Linked DNA regions of Caenorhabditis elegans. The protein of the gene in region 2 purifies or fractionates together with the protein of the main gene of each other region. This does not show direct contact. Each region holds a gene or a part of one and is shown on either strand. Other genes may lie near its edges. The genes, in order: ttr-48, mpst-1, idhg-2 and idhg-1.

The links.
Region 1: the proteins of mpst-1 (region 2) and ttr-48 fractionate together in Caenorhabditis elegans (co-fractionation; one large-scale study listed by BioGRID). This does not show direct contact.
Region 3: the proteins of mpst-1 (region 2) and idhg-2 fractionate together in Caenorhabditis elegans (co-fractionation; one large-scale study listed by BioGRID). This does not show direct contact.
Region 4: the proteins of mpst-1 (region 2) and idhg-1 fractionate together in Caenorhabditis elegans (co-fractionation; one large-scale study listed by BioGRID). This does not show direct contact.

What each region holds. Positions count from the first base shown.
Region 1 is NC_003284.9:3,840,331-3,844,181, forward strand, and holds ttr-48 (Transthyretin-like family protein), read right to left. Parts: upstream 2,119-3,851; 5' UTR 2,118-2,118; coding exon 2,026-2,117; intron 1,981-2,025; coding exon 1,883-1,980; intron 1,839-1,882; coding exon 1,766-1,838; intron 935-1,765; coding exon 853-934; intron 804-852; coding exon 654-803; 3' UTR 539-653; downstream 1-538.
Region 2 is NC_003283.11:11,825,361-11,828,929, forward strand, and holds mpst-1 (Putative thiosulfate sulfurtransferase mpst-1), read right to left. Parts: upstream 1,708-3,569; 5' UTR 1,703-1,707; coding exon 1,521-1,702; intron 1,476-1,520; coding exon 874-1,475; intron 828-873; coding exon 625-827; 3' UTR 534-624; downstream 1-533. Other genes in the region: D2023.4 (Thialysine N-epsilon-acetyltransferase), read right to left, coding at 39-115, 157-244, 294-359; D2023.6 (ABC1 atypical kinase-like domain-containing protein), read left to right, coding at 2,008-2,049, 2,101-2,211, 2,264-2,413, 2,462-3,262, 3,310-3,569.
Region 3 is NC_003279.8:6,972,622-6,977,620, forward strand, and holds idhg-2 (Isocitrate dehydrogenase [NAD] subunit, mitochondrial), read left to right. Parts: upstream 1-1,936; 5' UTR 1,937-2,140; coding exon 2,141-2,218; intron 2,219-2,310; coding exon 2,311-2,418; intron 2,419-3,015; coding exon 3,016-3,117; intron 3,118-3,263; coding exon 3,264-3,392; intron 3,393-3,471; coding exon 3,472-3,564; intron 3,565-3,616; coding exon 3,617-3,748; intron 3,749-3,807; coding exon 3,808-4,218; intron 4,219-4,268; coding exon 4,269-4,337; 3' UTR 4,338-4,450; downstream 4,451-4,999. Other genes in the region: C30F12.4 (LITAF domain-containing protein), read right to left, coding at 70-194, 501-811, 859-970, 1,021-1,048.
Region 4 is NC_003281.10:4,567,220-4,572,370, reverse strand, and holds idhg-1 (Isocitrate dehydrogenase [NAD] subunit, mitochondrial), read right to left. Parts: upstream 3,359-5,151; 5' UTR 3,348-3,358; coding exon 3,222-3,347; intron 3,180-3,221; coding exon 2,967-3,179; intron 2,918-2,966; coding exon 2,789-2,917; intron 2,738-2,788; coding exon 2,633-2,737; intron 2,588-2,632; coding exon 2,375-2,587; intron 2,299-2,374; coding exon 2,155-2,298; intron 2,110-2,154; coding exon 1,921-2,109; intron 1,308-1,920; coding exon 1,236-1,307; 3' UTR 506-1,235; downstream 1-505. Other genes in the region: Serine/threonine-protein kinase sel-5, read left to right, coding at 164-255; mlcd-1 (Malonyl-CoA decarboxylase, mitochondrial), read left to right, coding at 4,254-4,355, 4,405-4,539, 4,588-4,710, 4,759-4,985, 5,031-5,151.

The DNA.
Region 1 (3,851 bases), on a different chromosome or scaffold from region 2:
TGTGCTTTCTAAGCCACTATGCGTGCATCACAAACTAACTGTATTGCATAAATTTTTCAGTGTACAAAAAATAATAATTTTTTGGACAGTATGAAAGTTTCAGTTATTTATCTAAAAAAATGGCTCAACCCCATTTTGAAAATTCATTATGTATCATAAAAATTCCATACAGAGAAAATTCGGCAAAACATTGAAACTTACTGGAAATTGTTGTCGAAAACGGCGGAACACAGAACACAACAATACTGAAAAGTTTTACTGTCCATATTGTCAGTTTTCAAAAACCGCCCTCTTTCGGTTCGTGCAATAACAGCTCTCATAAAATGAACAGTTTCAAGGCTTGTCCTCCGGTGAACAAAGATCAAATGAGAAAAGTTTCGTGAGATTCTTCTCTTTCTCACCTGGGTGGTTTTATTTTTCTCAACACCACGTCCTTTTCCTCCATATTTTCTGATCTGATATGCGTGATGTATCCGTTTTCCAAAACAGAACAACAGCCAGTGCCAAACAACAAAAACAAAATGAGTGCGAGCGCTTTGAAATGAGAAGAGAAATTTTACTGATTGCATTCATGGGGAACAACTTCTAAATAAAATTCAAAATATTTGATGTGAAATATAATGAAGAAAAAAATTGTGAAAGAAAAGTTAAATTTAATCGGTGAATTTGAACTTCAAATCATGGGTCTCTTGTGGAAACTCCAACTCCAAATTGAGAATTCCAAAGTCATACACCTTTCTTGCTTTGATTCCGAGTGTTACGTAATCTTCTGGAAGACGGACACCAATTCGTTTGTAGCCGTACTATAAAAATAATTGATTTTTGTTTCGTAAGTGCTGGTCTTTGACTTACATTGGATGTTTGCTTATTGTCCATTCCGCAGTTGTGATGAATTGTGACATATGGCTGGATATCGGTTTTGGTACGTGGGAATCTGAAAGTTAAACTTATAAAAACAAAATTTTAATCTTAATTCCAGGTTTTAAAACAAGGCAATTGCTATCAGCTATTTCTGAAATGTTGCAGTTGAACTTAGCACTATTTTCGAGGTCCCGAAAATTGCTGAAAATCTTTGGTTTCCTTAAATCTCTCCAATTTTGATGAGAATCACAATTTCTATATTTTGTGTAGAGATTTGAAGTATCGAGGAGCTTCCCGAATGTTTTTCTAAACCCAAAAACCTCTTAACTTTTGATAAGATTCTAAGGACCCCAAAAAATGAGTAAGAATATATTCATTCAGTGAAATAAAAGTTTGTAATTGTTAGAATTGTTCGTCTGAATTGCTTTTTCTATATAAGATACTAAAACCAGTCGATGTAATGGTGAAAAATAGCGAGTGTGAAAACGATTAAACATTATTGTTCTGGAGCTAAAAAATGTTTTTTAATAACTTCGGAAAATTATTTATTTCGAGTCAAAAAGTTGTAAAACCTCAGTTTACGCTTATTTAGAAAAAATATTCCAAAACTTTTGAAAAACTTCATTTAGATATTCGGTCAGTTTTTGGTCATATGAATGCGTTTCCATTATTTTTCATTGACCGTGCTCCACCTTTCAGAACTTGTATTTTCAAACTGTTCTCCAATTTATGCCACTACAACAATGTGTAAAACTTCCTTCTCATAATGTTTTCAGCACAAGATAATTCTGACATACTTCACTTCATTTCGAATGCACGCACTATTGGCACTATTGATAAGCAAGACATGAATAGAAAACTTTTGACTTTTTAAATAACCTTTTCTCAGCAAAAAATAACAAACCTCGCGGTACCTCCTTCAACTTGGAACATTCCCGTAATGTATGTGTTCTTTACGTCGAGTAGCTCGGCGAGATCTGACATGATTATGGTCTTGCTCAAAACTTGATACCTTACTTACCATCTGCTGCATTTGGTTGAAATGTTCTGAAAAGTCGGATCTTGGCTCCTTCGAAAGGCTTCTTTCCACAATACAGTTGTCCTTTGACTGCCATGGTTCTAAAAATATAAATTGATTTTTACAAAATTGAAAATTAAATTTACCTGTTGGCAATGTTAGTTGGGACATCAAGATCCGCTCCAGCAGAAACGTATGAAATTGGTAAAAGAAGAGCGGCGATAAATATGAAAATCATGCTGAAATGTGATAATTAAACGTATTTCTCAGCGATTCATGAATCAATAGAAAGGATATTGAAGAAGATACCGGAAAACAAAATGCTCAGTGAACACCTGACCTCTCAATAGAGATGCACGTAGACACCAATTGATATTGATCAAAATGTTCGACGCTTCCCAAAACACTTGGGAAGAATCAAAATGAAACGGTCGCAGTGTACAGTTTCATTATCAAGTTTCTAAACCGTTTTGATAGACCAAACACTGGTCAACACTATTCTAGCTTATCACTCTTATCGCGAAGCTATTGACAATAAGGACACTTTGGCTCTTCATTCAAAAGAAAAATAAACAATTTATATTGATTATATGATCAGTTGATGATTATTCAACATATGGTTCAACACAAATAAGAACAAATACATCTATTGACGTGATTTGGAGTTTTAAAGGTGGTGTAGTCGAATTTCTTTTATTTGTTTATTATATTTAAAATTGTCTGAAAACACCGAATTTCATAATGAAACTTCTTGAAAACTATTAAAAATAGTTATTACAGCTCAAAAAATAGCCTAAAATTAGAATAATTTGAAATTTGACCGACTTGTCAATGTCGCAGAGTTATACCCAAAATGTTGTAACCAAAATTGGACGACAAAAATTAGTTTCTAGACGCTGCGACATTTTTAAAAAACCATGGTGCCAGCTATGATGCAAAAATGACCAAATGTCATAGCCAACCTATTCAAACAATTTTTTGATAGGCGACTTCCAAAAAAAAAACAACATTTATACAACATACAACACTTTTAATTATTTTTAAAACAAATTTTTACAAAACCATACCACACCTAACTTGTGGTGACTCCACTTAAATTTTGATGAAAATTCACAAAAAATACCTGTATCTGAAATTAAATTTTTCTGGAAAATGTTGAAAGTGTTCAATATTTATCAAAAAATTATGCGAAAAAATAAAACTGTTCTCGAAAAGTTACATACAAAAATTGACCCTATCAGAAGAAAAGCTCCGGGTTTTAAAAATCGAAACCAGCAGTTCCAATTGAATATATCGTAACTATGCACCAGGAAGAATGGGGAGGTGAATATTCAAACGGAGTGTGTCGGTGGGTTTCAAGCAATTATCGGGAAAGAATGAGATGAACAACCTAGAAATCTCACCGGAACGTACAATTATCATAGATACACAAAAAGGCAAAAACACTCTGAGAAAAACATGAACTTTCAGCGTACAAAAAGAATGGTGTGTATTCGTTTTGATGACTAGTCAAAACGAGAGAAGCTGTGAAATTAGGTGAGGGTGAATGGCAGAAAAGACCATGAAAATCGAGTTACTAACCGCATCTGAGAAGCTGCTCAATTGTGTGGAGCACATCAAAAAAAAATAATTTTATTAGGCTAGAAAGTTCTACGGGATCCGAGAAATCAAACGTGCGAATCAGAAAGAAAAAAGAAACAGCGGGACAAAAAACCTGAGCATATGGTATTTGAAAAGCGAATAAAAGAGTTGTAAATGCAACATACTGCTATCAGACGAGAAACCGGGCAATAGAACAGTCAACCGGAATGGGGGGAAAATGAGAAATTATGTGTGCAATCGAAAATGTTATGCTTGAATTTTGAAGAAAGAATGCAGAGATTTGAAAAAAAAACTGCTTGAACTGCTTTGAACGCTCTTGATTACCGTAATGACGCAAAATGTTGAGGTAATGAATAAGGAAAATGTGGAC
Region 2 (3,569 bases):
GATTTTTTGGTTGAATTTCAGTACTGTTTCATAAATACCTGCCCAACCCATGTTGAATATGCATAGTAAAAAAGGTTCATTCCAGCTGGCTCCTCTCCGATAAATGCAATGAATCCTAAATTTCGATTTATGATCAATTAAAAATCAAAATCGTACCATGCACTGCCTTGTTTTCAATATCTTTTCTCAATTTCTCGGCAGTATTCACCACGCTGCTCTTCATTTTTTCAAACTCCGCGAGCTCCTGCAAATGTTTATTTTCTTTTCAAATAAAGAAGAAGAAATAAACCTACATGAATCATTGAAATGAGTTGTTCGGCATGATCCGGGGTAACGGTGACAATTTCGAAGTTTTTCATACTTTAACGATAAAAGTGAAGAACAATTTTCAAAAGTTATGAACTGAAATTCTTATCACACAATGAAGATGAAAAATCATTTTTCGATATCAGTGGTTTCTGATGTTCGAGATTTTTCAACTAAATAGTCTGAATGGTAGTCAAGTAACCATTTAAAAGGAAAAATGAATAAAATTATTCCAAAATTTTATGAAGTAAGAAACAAAATAACAACAATATCTATCTATGAAAATTGAATAAAAGAAAAATCCTACAAAACTAAACATTAATGAGGCAAATGCTGTGGTCCCTCCGAAATTTTCTTCGGTGCTCGAAGCTCCATCTCTTTTAAGGATCCATTATATACGCGGGGAGGATTCTGTGATGGCTTCACAGCATCGATTACGTACGCCAAAAGTGCTGCTTGAATTCCAGCATTACAGGATGTGATTGTCGGTTGATTTTCAACATATCCGTTTTGAGTGAGCCCTAAATTAGAAAAGTTGAGATTATCGGAAAACTCATTATCTTTTACATGACTTGATTTCTTCTTCACTTTTCAAATTTCCGCCTTTCACAAGAAGCTCTGCACTAGGTAGATTTTTGAAACCAGCGATTCTAGTGCCGTTTACAAGATGTGGATCAAGACCGGTCTCTTGAGTTCCATCGAATTGACCACGAATTCTGCTGTCCAGAAAGTTAATTTCTGATGTTTTTTCGATAAACTGTTTATCTTCGCCGTCTTTTTTAGCTTCGAGTTCTTGGAATGTGATGACATATTTTTTGAAATTATCTTCAGCTTTAAAGTTTCCTGCAGGCAATTTTACGAGTTCTGTAGATACTTCAAATCCATTTCTTTTCCATGAATCAAATCCTCCATCGACAAGAGAAATGTTTTCATGGCCATAGGATTTGAAAATCCAAGCAACCTTTGAAGCAAAAAGCATTCCACCAAATGCTCCTTTTCCGTAAAAGATGAAATGTTCTTTATTGTTCAATCCAACCATTTGAGCATATTCTTCGAAAAGATCCGCGCGGTATTGTTGGAATCTTTGATAACGAGATGGATATGTGGCAATGTCCAGGTCCACATGCACAGCTTCCGGAATGTGTCCAGCCAGGTACAAGTTCCGGGACCTTCAAATTTTGTTTTTTTTTAAATTAAAATTTGAATAAACATACGGGCTGGGCTCAGCCATGAGATTCTTGAAATCGCCATAACCCTCTTGTTCGAATTCTTTCCAATCTGGACGCGGCGCCACAGCAAATGAGCAATCAATGATCCGCACTCCTTCTTTATTGATAATTCCTTTTTTCAGAAGAGTGTTAACTGATTTTACATCGATTATTTTTTTGAGACTCATAATTACTGTAATTGTTAATAATTTTTAAAATATTTTACGAAAAGACACTGAACATAAACCGTTTAAAGAGATTTATATTTTTACTGAGAAAAAAATTACTTAAAAATGAAAAAAAGGCAAAGAAGAACATTCTGAAAACAGCAAGAACTTTGATTTCAAAACTGTTTTGCAAAATAAAAACTGTTTTCAAAAATGTCTCTGACCTCCAGAATACACATACTCTCTCTGCAATCAATGGAGCGCACTTGCGTCGATATTTTTTGAGATGAATTTCCATCATTTTCAGTTATTTTCAGCCCGGTGTCATGATTATTAGAAAAATACTGGCGTTTAAGCCACTCACAAAAGTAAGTTGTTTAAGTTTTCAAAGCATCGTATTAATTAAAAACGTTTTCAAGGTCTTATTTGTGGGAACTGGAGCTGGAGCAGGCTATACAGCGTACACGGTAGATTCCGTTGAAGACTTAAGACAATTAGGACTGCTGAGATTTGGGAGAGCTGCTTCAACCGTAAGTTGTTTAAACTAAACTGTTTACAAAAAATTTCGATCTGAATTTTCAGGTAGGGAAAATTGTAATTGACTACAAAACTTCATTGCGTGGACTTCCAGAGCCATCTTCTGAATACGATGATGCAATCAAAAAATGTCACCAGCGAAGTGCGGAGCATCTTTTGGAGTTGGCCTGTGTCAACGGAGGTGTTTTCATCAAGGTAGCTGAATTATACTTCAAATTTCTATTGAAATAAATGAAAATATAGGTTGGACAACACATTTCGGGAATGGAATATTTGATACCACCAGAGTACACTCAAACATTAAGCATTCTCACCTCGCAAGCTCCACAAGCATCCAAGGAGGATGTCATTTACGTCGTGGAGTCAGAATTAAACGCAAAAGTCGGCGACCTATTTTCGGAATTTTCCGAAAAACCAGTTGGAGCGGCAAGCCTGGCACAAGTTCATAAAGCAAAGCTAAAAGAATCTGGGGAGACGGTTGCAGTTAAAGTTCAGCATAAACGAGTTTACAAGAATAGCAGGACCGATGTTAACACTATGGAATTCTTAGTAAAAGTTGCCGATGCAGTCTTTCCGGAATTCCGTCTTATGTGGCTAGTGGACGAAATAAAGAAGAATCTTCCAAATGAACTTGATTTTCTGCACGAAGCGAAAAATGCCGATGAAGCAGCTCAACGTTTCAAGCACCTGAAATTTCTACGAATTCCAAAGATTAAATACGATTTGACTACAACGAGAGTACTCACCATGGAATTTTGTGAAGGAGCACATGTTGATGATGTGGAATACCTAAAAAAGAATAATATTGATCCACATGATGTTTGTATGAAAATAGGAAAAACTATTTCTGAAATGATCTTTCTACAAGGATATTTGCACTCGGATCCGCACCCTGGAAATGTACTGATCAACAGCCTAGGAAATGGAAAATATGAAATTGTGCTATTGGATCATGGTTTGTACTTGAATATCAGTGATCACATTCGTAAACTGTATTCCGATCTTTGGCTGGCAATTCTGAAGCCTGATCTCCAAGAGATCCGCGTTAGTTATTTTAAAATATATAATTAAGTGAAAGCTAATATTTTCAGAAAGTTGCAAGTCAAATGGGAGTTGGGGAACTCTACGGTCTATTTGCATGCATGGTCACTCGACGTTCTTGGAAGTCGGTCACAGGTGGAATTGGAAAGTCGAAAATGAATGAAAGTGAAAAAGATGAGCTTCGTATGTATGCTTCGTCGTTGATACCTCAAATCAGTGAAGTACTAGCACGAATGCCACGAGAAATGCTTCTTATTTTAAAAACGAATGATTTGATGAGAAACATCGAGCATAAATTAGGAGTTTTTGG
Region 3 (4,999 bases), on a different chromosome or scaffold from region 2:
AATATTTTCGTTTCTGACTATCAAAATCATCTCGTTGCACTTTAAAAATAATCAGCAAAAATGACTAACCTTTCTCAATCGATCTTGTTTTCGCATGATGATTCCTTTTCGACATTTCGGACAGACGAGTGCACCCACACCTCCTCCGGGAGATCCACCAATTTGTGGAGACTGGTTAACGCACAGAGTTATAGCTGAAATTTTAAGATAAATAAAAGAAGAAGTGGAAATTTCTACTTTTTGATGATTAAAAAAAGGTGAATGGCAACTTGAAATTATGAATAAAAATAAATTTGTCTAGACTAGGTCTCACAAATTGGACATCCGGTTTTTTGAGTTCTAATTTTGTGTTCGAGCGCTTTTTTTCTCGATGTCTGAGACTGGATTTCAATAAAAAACAAGGAGTATCGAGTATTTTATAAAAATGAAGTTTCGCCGAAACATATATATATATCTTGTATAATTTTTTTATAATTTTTAATATTACTTATCGAATATACCTGGCGACGCCTGCTGTTGCGGTGGGGCTTGGACAGGCGGTTGAGGTGAGACAAGCTGCACTGGATTGGCCATTTGAGCCATCTGAGTCATCATCATCTGTGGTCCTGCAGTTGTCATGATCGGTTGCTGCATAACAATTTGCTGAGGCATCATTTGAGCCATTTGGGGCATCATGTACTGCTGTTGAACCATTGGCATTGAAACTGGAACCATTTGAGGCTGTGGTTGAATTGGTGGAGCAGATGGAACTGATGGATAGACTTGAGATGAATAATATGGTGGCGGTTGTTGTTGAGAATATTGAGAAATCCTGTAAATTGTGAATTTATTCCAATGAATTTTCTTTCTTCAACTCACTCTGGTCTGATATGTTGCCGCATAACCTCCACTCTTCGTGGAGAAATGTACTTGACAGTTTCGGGCCCCAAAAATTGAACTCTTCCATCAGGCGTGAGTGGGGGCTCTTCATCTGAAAATTAGGTGTTTAAAATTTTTAGATTATTTTATAAAATAACTTACAGACGTAATCAGTCGGATTAATTGTCATCTTGAGCAACGATTTTCCGATTGAAAACAGATGAGAAAATAAAAAAAAATAATTCCTCGAATCTCAGTCTGTGAGAAGTGCGTCGATGTGTTTGCGTACTTTGATTGCATACCGTAGTTCACTATAAAAATTGCAAACGAACATTTCCAATAATATTATTTTTATTTAAAAAAAAGTTTAAAAGTGTCAAGCAATCTTAAAACTTGAGAAGAACTGTATAAGTTTTTTAAAATAAAATCGGAAGTATAGAAATATCGTGATTTCGCGAAGTTTTGACATGTCAGTTTAAAGGCACTGCCAATGTTTCGAGTGGGTCTCGCCACGATCTCAGTAATTGTTGTCATTACAGGTGCCAAGTTATACAGGAGAATTCATTTCATGTAGAAAATTAAGTCTATGAAGTTTCAAATTTTGAAGTGGCCAGAGAAAACTAGGATTAATCCCGAAAAATTTAGCACCTAGCGAAACATTTCCCGCACCGGAGTATGATTTAAAACTCTTCGTTTCCAAATAAAGAAATTTCTATCTTCTCACACACTGAAGTCATATCGTTTTTTTTCCACTAGTGACAAAACTTTCAATTCGTCTAATATTTTTTATTACAACTCCCCATTTATGTCTCATCAATTTTCAGTCAAAACTCTGAAATTTTGACCACATTCAACACGTGTCAGGGTGTTCTTGCACCTGAATTGAGCCGCACTTCCCTATCTTTTTCAATTTTCTCTGCCAAACTTTTCTTTTCTTTCTTGATAAGCCGAACAAATGTGTGTGTGCCTGCCAAGTTGTTTACCACGTTAGAGATAAGAGAGATGTAGAGACGCAGATGTTCATGAAAACGCCCGTCTTTTTGTTCCCGGGACCCTGAGCATTGGAGAATCCCATGCTACATTTAATCGATACCTTTTTTCTCAAATTAAATATTCTATAGCTACATACATATTGTCTCAAATTTTGAAATACTAGACAGTCTCTAGCAAAAAAATTTACGAATTTGAGATATTTTAAGTTCTTCTTAACTTCCTAATCGAATTCCTAACTGACAATGAATCAATAACGAAGCTTTTATAACTAAAGAACAAAAATTTAAGAATGTTCTCAAAACTTCCGATTCAAGCGGTTCGTGGAGCTGCCTCTGCAATCCGTACCCATCAAATTCCAGGTCACAGAGTAAGAGTTATCTTATCAGAAAATTAAAATTATAAAATAAAATGTAGCAAAATGCAATTCTTCCAAAAACCATAATATAATCACTTTTTCAGCTCCCACTAGCAAAATATGGTGGTCGACATACAGTTTGTGCCCTTCCTGGAGATGGAATTGGCCCCGAGATGATTGCCCATATCAGAAATATTTTCTCGTTTTGTCATGTAGGTTCCCATGCTTGAAAATATAAAGTCTACTATGCACATTTGGGTACTTGTGTATTATACCCCCGCCATTGTAAAAATTAATCAAATTTCCATTAATTTATTTGTTTAAATTAAACGTGATACCCATTTTCCTTATTAGGCTTCGGAGTGCTGTTTTCCTAAGCCTAAAATTCCACACATTTTTATTTTATAAGGTAAAAAATTAATGTTTAATGGCGGGGGTATCATACACAAGTACCCACATTTGAATTTAAGCTTGCTTCTTCAAGAATGTGAAAGTTCTAAAAACCATATTCAAGTTATCATTTTAAAGTCACGTTAAACTGGATTTACAATATACCGTAACCGTGTTTGGGTTTAAAACACACAATATTTAATTTCAATATTCTTCACTGCTCATAAGCTTTTTTAGTATCGTTTTTCTTCTATTAGTTTTGGATTTTATTGCTCAACTTTGATTGCTCGTATCTCGACTCTTTTTGATTTTTTTAAAAAGTTGGTAGAATACAAGTTAATCGTAATCCTTTTTCACATGTTGAGAACTACCAAAATGGATAAGGTGAAGCAAAAAAAAGAGACAGATGTTAATTTTAGGCTCCAGTCAACTTTGAAGAAGTGCAAGTCTCATCGTCGCTTTTGGATGGAGACATGGATGCTGCTATGCTGGCAATTGAAAGAAATGGTGTTGCTATAAAGGTAATGAATTAAATAAAATTAGTGAAATACCTGCTTGTTCAATTGTAAAAAAAAGTACCTCTGTTTTTTTGAATTGAATTAAAAATTTGCATTAGTTTAATGTCAAAATATAAATATTACAACTAATGTATATAAAATAATTTCAGGGAAACATTGAAACAAAACACGACGATCCACAATTCAACTCTCGTAACGTTGAACTCAGAACTAAATTGGATCTCTATGCCAATATTCTTCACTGTGTCACAATTCCAACAGTACCTACCAGACATTCTGTAAGTAAACTTACCAATTTGTTTCAGTTGGAGAGTTTAAAAAAATTGTATTCAATTGTTAAAACTTCTTATTTTTAAGGGAATTGATATTGTTCTTATACGTGAAAATACGGAAGGAGAATACTCTGGATTAGAACATGAAGCAGTTCCAGGAATCGTAGAAAGCATTAAAGTGAGTTCAAATTCCTACTTTCCTGTATTTTCAGTTAAATAAATACTTTGAGATCGTCACCCGTGAGAAAATTGAGAGAATCTCAAGAATGGCATTTGAATATGCAAAAGCAAATGGAAGAAAGAAGGTTACAGCTGTTCATAAAGCTAATATTCAGAAACTTGGAGATGGACTTTTCCTAAAGGTGTGTTTTTAACGTTTCAATTTAAGGCCTAAAATAATGAATATTAAATGATATTTCAGGTTGTTCGGGACATGTCAGAAGATTATAAGGATATCAAATTTGAAGCAATGATTGTGGATAATGCCTCAATGCAACTTGTCTCTAAACCTCAACAGTTCGATGTAATGGTTATGCCAAATCTTTATGGAAATATCATTTCGAACATTGCATGTGGCCTTGTCGGTGGACCTGGATTAGTGTCTGGAATGAATCTTGGAGATAAATATGCTGTTTTTGAAACAGGAACTCGTAATACTGGAACTTCTCTTGCTGGAAAAGATATTGCCAATCCAACTGCGTTCATTCGAGCATCTGTTGATATGTTGAGATATTTGGGATGCCATTATCACGCTAATATTATTTCCGATGCATTGTGGAAGGCTCTTGTTGAACAAAGAATTCACACTGCTGATATTGGAGGAAATAATTCGGTAAGTAAAATTAAATAGTTTCCAAAAAAAAACCTAAACCATTGTTACAGGCCAGTGATGTTATCAACGCAACTCTTCAGAACATCAAAGTTTTGATGGACGAGAACCCAAAACATTGATGAAATTTCTCGTGCTTTGATATAATTTTAATTTTCTGGATTTTAATATTTCGTGTCAGGTTTTTATGTTTTTCAACTATACTTTTGTAAATAAATAAAAATATTGAAATTGATTTGTGGGTTTATAAAACTTAATGAAAAACGCAATTCTGAAAAACACGAATTTTCAATTTTAGAATATCCCCTGTTCATATTTCATCCAAAAATTAGAGCCCCATGACCAATCAGACAGGGCAAAGGAAATTCAAACAGAGAAATGAACCAAAATTTGAAACGTAGATTAAATTTTGAAAATTTTTGTATCTGATCTTTATTCTCCTTGGACAGTACACCACATCATTTCTCATTGTAACAATTGTTTTCTGAAGCTTATGAACCCAGAGAAAGAGCCTGTAGTGTTGACCATTCAGATTAACGATTCAACGACAAATGAAATACAAATAGAACAGAAAAGAAGGGACGGAGACGAATCGGTTCAACATCAATAGTCAGTCAATGTTTTCCTCTGTTAAAGCTCTCCATTTCAAAAGTTTATAGAAAATAATTTTTACAATTCTGAAGCTATTTCAAAAAATTTTTTGCGAATACAAATTAAGGCTCAAACTAATTATTATTAGTTGAATAAAAAGCAAATCTATTCGTGTATTCTCAGGAAGTTTGAC
Region 4 (5,151 bases), on a different chromosome or scaffold from region 2:
TTAAAAAATTTCCGATCGCTAAAAAAATAAAACTGACCAAAATTTTAAAGTTTGTTTCAAAAAGAAACTGAAATTTTTGGTTTTTTTAAACAGAATAATTTACGACGACCCTTCCGTATAGAAAAACTAATGTTTTATTTAAAATTAAAATTTACTGTTTCAGAAGATAAAAAATCGTCACTGACTGGCAAAAATGCATCATTTGTGAATACATCCTTCCAACCGGAAGATCATGATGATCCAACCGACTTGTAAACTGGAATTTTTCATATTTCTTTTTATATATTACACAATTTGTTCTTTTTAGTGATTTGCAATTCACCCTCCCCCCAAAGTTGTCGTTGTGTCAAATTTAGAATCACTTATTTTCTCAATTATTTATTTTCTTTTGGTATTTTCCCGCCAATGTACTTATGATATGTATAATATGGAATATGCTTTCCTTGTAATTTTCATATTTTGGTATCCACCCACGCATGTAGTTGTGATAGACTCAATCTCCCAGTTTCATATGCATATTTTCTGTAATTTATTAATTCTTTTTTCAACTTTTTTTCTGCAAGTTTTAGTACAATTTTTCTGACCCGAAATAAATTATTTCGAATTGAAATGTTCGATCGACATTTGATTTTGAAAAAGAACTTACAACGCATGTTGCTTTCACCAGACCATCCGGTATATTGAACTAAAATTTGTATTAGTTCAATATTTCCTAGATAGTCTGGTGAAATAAAGAATAGAATAGTTGTGGCAAAAAATGAATAATATTAAAGTGAGCTAGGGAGCATTCAAAAAGATACAGTAGCTACAGTAGTAAACTCCGCCTTTTTTCAAGCAGCTCTCAAGTATTGACTAATTAGGTTAAGAGCATATTGGTGGGGGGAGTACTTAACTTTGTGACAGTAACCTAATATTAACATTATTAACAGAGTATCGAATTTCACTAAACCAATTTTATAATATTGTACTATACTGGAAATGAGAAAAATTCAAACAATCAGAAAAAATTAAAATCCAAAGAAAATTGTGGGTACAGAGATGAGGAAGAAAGGAACAAGATAAGAGACATCAGGCGGAAACGTTCAGTCAACGGGGTCAAACAGAGAAAGAGCACAATGAGTAACGCATTATGCTACGAATCATGGATTAATCGAAAAAAAAACAGAGGAAAAGAACGTAAGGGTAAAGCTAGCCACTATGTGGGATGTTTCAAACTTTCGATTATCAGGTAGAAATTAGACACGGTAGTTGCGGTCCTCGAGCTCCTTCTCGATGAAGTCGAGTACTGATTGAACGAGTTCCGATGACTGAAAATTTATTAAATTAAAGTTTTGTAGTGCATTTTTAAAAAGTACTTATAAAGTTAATGTTCTAAAAAGTGAAGTCGTTTTGAAGTTTTGCTTAAAATCATCGAAAATGGACCATAATAACTGTAAAAAAATTTATAACATTTTTTCTATGATTTTTCCAATTTTGCAAGAATAAAAAATGTGAGTTCCGACATTTTTGCCTTTTCCGGCAATTTTTCAAATATTTTTTCCGCAAAGAAAACTTCATAAACCGAAATAAATTCGAAAACATTTCAAAAATTAGCCTAAAACTCGATAATTCATAAATTTCTTTGCGGAAAATGTATGTGTGTTTTATACCAAATACTAAAAAAACAAAATTAAGAGTAATCACTCAGTACAGCCGAAAAACGCAAAAAAACTATTCTACTTATTCGCGCGGAAATTCAGAAACACTTATCTTATTTTTTAATTTTGCAAAATATTAGAAAAATTGTATAAATTTTTAAATTACGGTCCATTTATGGATATCATCTTGAGCAAAATTCCAAAACGACTCTACTCTACTTTTAAATAAAGAAAAGGTAAGAATTTAATATATACAACTTTAGAAAATTAATGAAATTCTTACCTTAGAAGTTCCTCCAATATCAGCGGTGTGAATTCTCTTATCAACAAGCGTACGGAACAATGAATCGGAGATCATATCGGCGTGTGATTGAAGTCCGAGGAAACGAAGCATATCAACGGCGGCACGGATGAACGCAGTTGGATTGGCAAGATCTTTTCCAGCAAGAGTGGTTCCGGTGTTACGGGTTCCCTGAAAAAAACAAATGTTATTTAATATTTTCATCAATATGCTAACTGTTTCAAAGACGGCGTAATCTTCTCCAATGTTCATTCCAGAAACAAGTCCTGGACCTCCGACGAGTCCACAAGCAATGTTTGAAATGATGTTTCCATAGAGATTTGGCATTAACATAACATCGAATTGTTGTGGGCGTGAAACCTGGAAATAAATAAGGATTTTTAATTATTCGTCTTTTTTCAGAACATTTATTTTGATGAATAAATAAACAACCCACCAACTGCATGGAAGCATTATCGACAATCATAGCATTGAATTCAATATCTGGATACTCGGCCTTGGCGATATCAGTGGCTACTTTAAGGAAAAGACCGTCTCCCAACTTTTGAATGTTGGCCTTGTGAACAGCAGTAACCTTCTTTCTTCCATATTTCTTTGCGAATTGGAATGCAAAACGAGTAATTTGTTCCGATTTTTCGCGAGTAACAACCTTTAAATTTGAAATTAGGACTAAATCTCAGTTGATAATCCCAACCTTCAAAGATTCGACAACACGAGGATGTGGAGCATTAACGGCTTCGTGCTCATTTCCAGAGTACTCGCCTTCAGTATTCTCACGGATGATAACCATATCGATTCCCTAAAGCTTTTCATTTGAAATTTGTACAAATCGATTTAAAAAAATTCTTACAGTGTGTCTGCTTGGAACAGTTGGAATAGTGGAACAGTGAAGAACGTTTGCGTAAAGATTGAGTTGACGACGAAGTTCCAAGTTTCGGGAAACGAAGCTTGGGTTATCAAACTTAGTTTCAATGTTTCCCTTCAAAAAAAAAAAATTAAATTTGATTTTAATCTTTCAACAAAAATACCTTCAAAGCAACACCATTTCTCTTGATAGCAGTGATAGCCTCAGCAAGATCTTCAGATGCATCTTCCTTTGAGGTCAAATTAACCACTTCGAAATCTACTGGAGCTTGAACTGCTGAAAGGATTCTCTCGACATGATGGAGCATTTCTGGTCCAATTCCATCTCCTGGCAAGACTGTGACGTTGTGACGTCCTCCATAACGAGCCAGCTTAGTCTGAAAATTGATATTAATAGCAGATAAAAATGAATTACTTACTGTGTTAGTTTGAAGAACTGGAGAACGGAATCGGAGCATATCGGAGTTCGGTGAAGTCGCGACGAACGCCTTTTGCACGACATTCTTCGAAGAGCGAAGTGTATGACCGAGGACGTTGCTCGACATCTTGTTTTTACCTGAAATGTTAAAAAAATGGAATTTACTAGAAAAACAACAGTTTAAAAATGTACTTTTAAAAGTGCATGTCAGAATAGTAGCCAATTTTTTAAATAGAAGGGTATAGTATATTTCAAAACTTTAACAAAAAACATTAAATCTTCCCGATATCATCATTATCATTATGAAAACTCAGATTTATCACTAAACAGATAATTTTCAGAAATTATATGCACAAAAAAAGAGGGCGGAACGAGCCGACCGATTGATTTGCAAGCGCCGCACGTGTTTCTCGCAATTCCGCCGCGCGACATTTTCATTTTCGTCTTTTATGTTTATTTTGTCCATTTTCGTTCATTTCTATCTATTTCAAATATTTTTGCTTTTTCTCTCTATTTGAGGGTTCATTGGTTTGTGTTTACTTCTAGTCTAGATTGCAATTCAAGCCAACTGCCGGGGAAATCCGGGAATTCGAACAGCAGTTGGCGCTTGATTGATTTTCGCCGCCGAATTGTTGTTGCTTCGTTGTTTTGTTTTGTTGGTTGTCTCAAGCGCTTATCAGGTGATCTATTAGTGATTTTTGTGTAGAAATAAATGTCTTAGGATTGTTCTTTAAAGTTTGTTTCATTGAAAACTCTTTGAAATAGTTGTTTCATGTAGAACCTGGCACGCCTTTTTCCAAAAATAGCGTCTATTTCTTATACAGAAATCGGTATCCAAGAAATAGTTTTGGCTGAAGTTACAAAGTCTTTATTATTTTATTAACTACTATTTAAAACGTTAACTGTTACTTGATTATCTTTTTATTTGTTCGTTTTGCTGATTTACATGCTCCCGGACTGTTTCGAGAATGTTTCGCGCTATGAAACTGTTATTTTCCCCCATAGATAATTATTTTGTAGGTTGATGTAAATAATGCTTCGTCGATATTCACATTTTTACTCGATTCGATATTCTTCCACATTATTATCTACTTTAGACGGACTCACAAATCGAACAAGTGGAGATAAGTTACTCGTAAGTTGAACTATATTTTCCAATTATTTGAAAAAATTTTATTTTTCAGACTTATAGCGAGAAGTTTTCCAAATTATATGCCAATTCCACGCCAGAAACTCGAAAATCGATTTTCGTAGATCTCGTCACAAACTATGGTGTAAACAAAGAAGCCCTAAATCATGCGATTTCTCTATATTCTAAGGTTGGTTATTATCATTGACATCGTATGACCAAAAATTGTAAAGTTCAGAATGATCAAATGTACCCGGAAGTAAGAACATCAGCAACAGCTTCTTATGTGAATTTGATAAAATCAATTGGAAATTTACCGGGAGGAGTTATGCAAGTCTGTGAAATGAGGGCTAATATTTTGGTATTAAAATTAAAATAAAATTAGCATCGAATATATAATTATTTTCAGGCACTTCTAAAACGGGAAACTGACAAAACTACAACATCATATCTCCGTCACATTGAACTGGCCACTAGAGAAGTATTAACTTCATGGTTTTCTTTAGGAAATCTAAAATTGGAACGACTTACGTGGTCATCTCCTGGAGATATTCTACAGAAAGTCGCCGAATATGAGGCAGTTCATCCAGTTAGAGGACTTTCAGATTTCAGAAAACGTCTTGGTCCGTTGAGACGGTAATTATGAAATAAAAATAAAAAACTAAAATTTCATTTTCTCAGATGTTTCTATTTTTCCCACGAAGCTCTTCCCCGGAACCCACTTGTGATGGTTCACGTGGCATTAGTTGATGAGATAGCGGATAGTGTACAAGAAATCACAAAAAGAGGAGCACCGACTGGA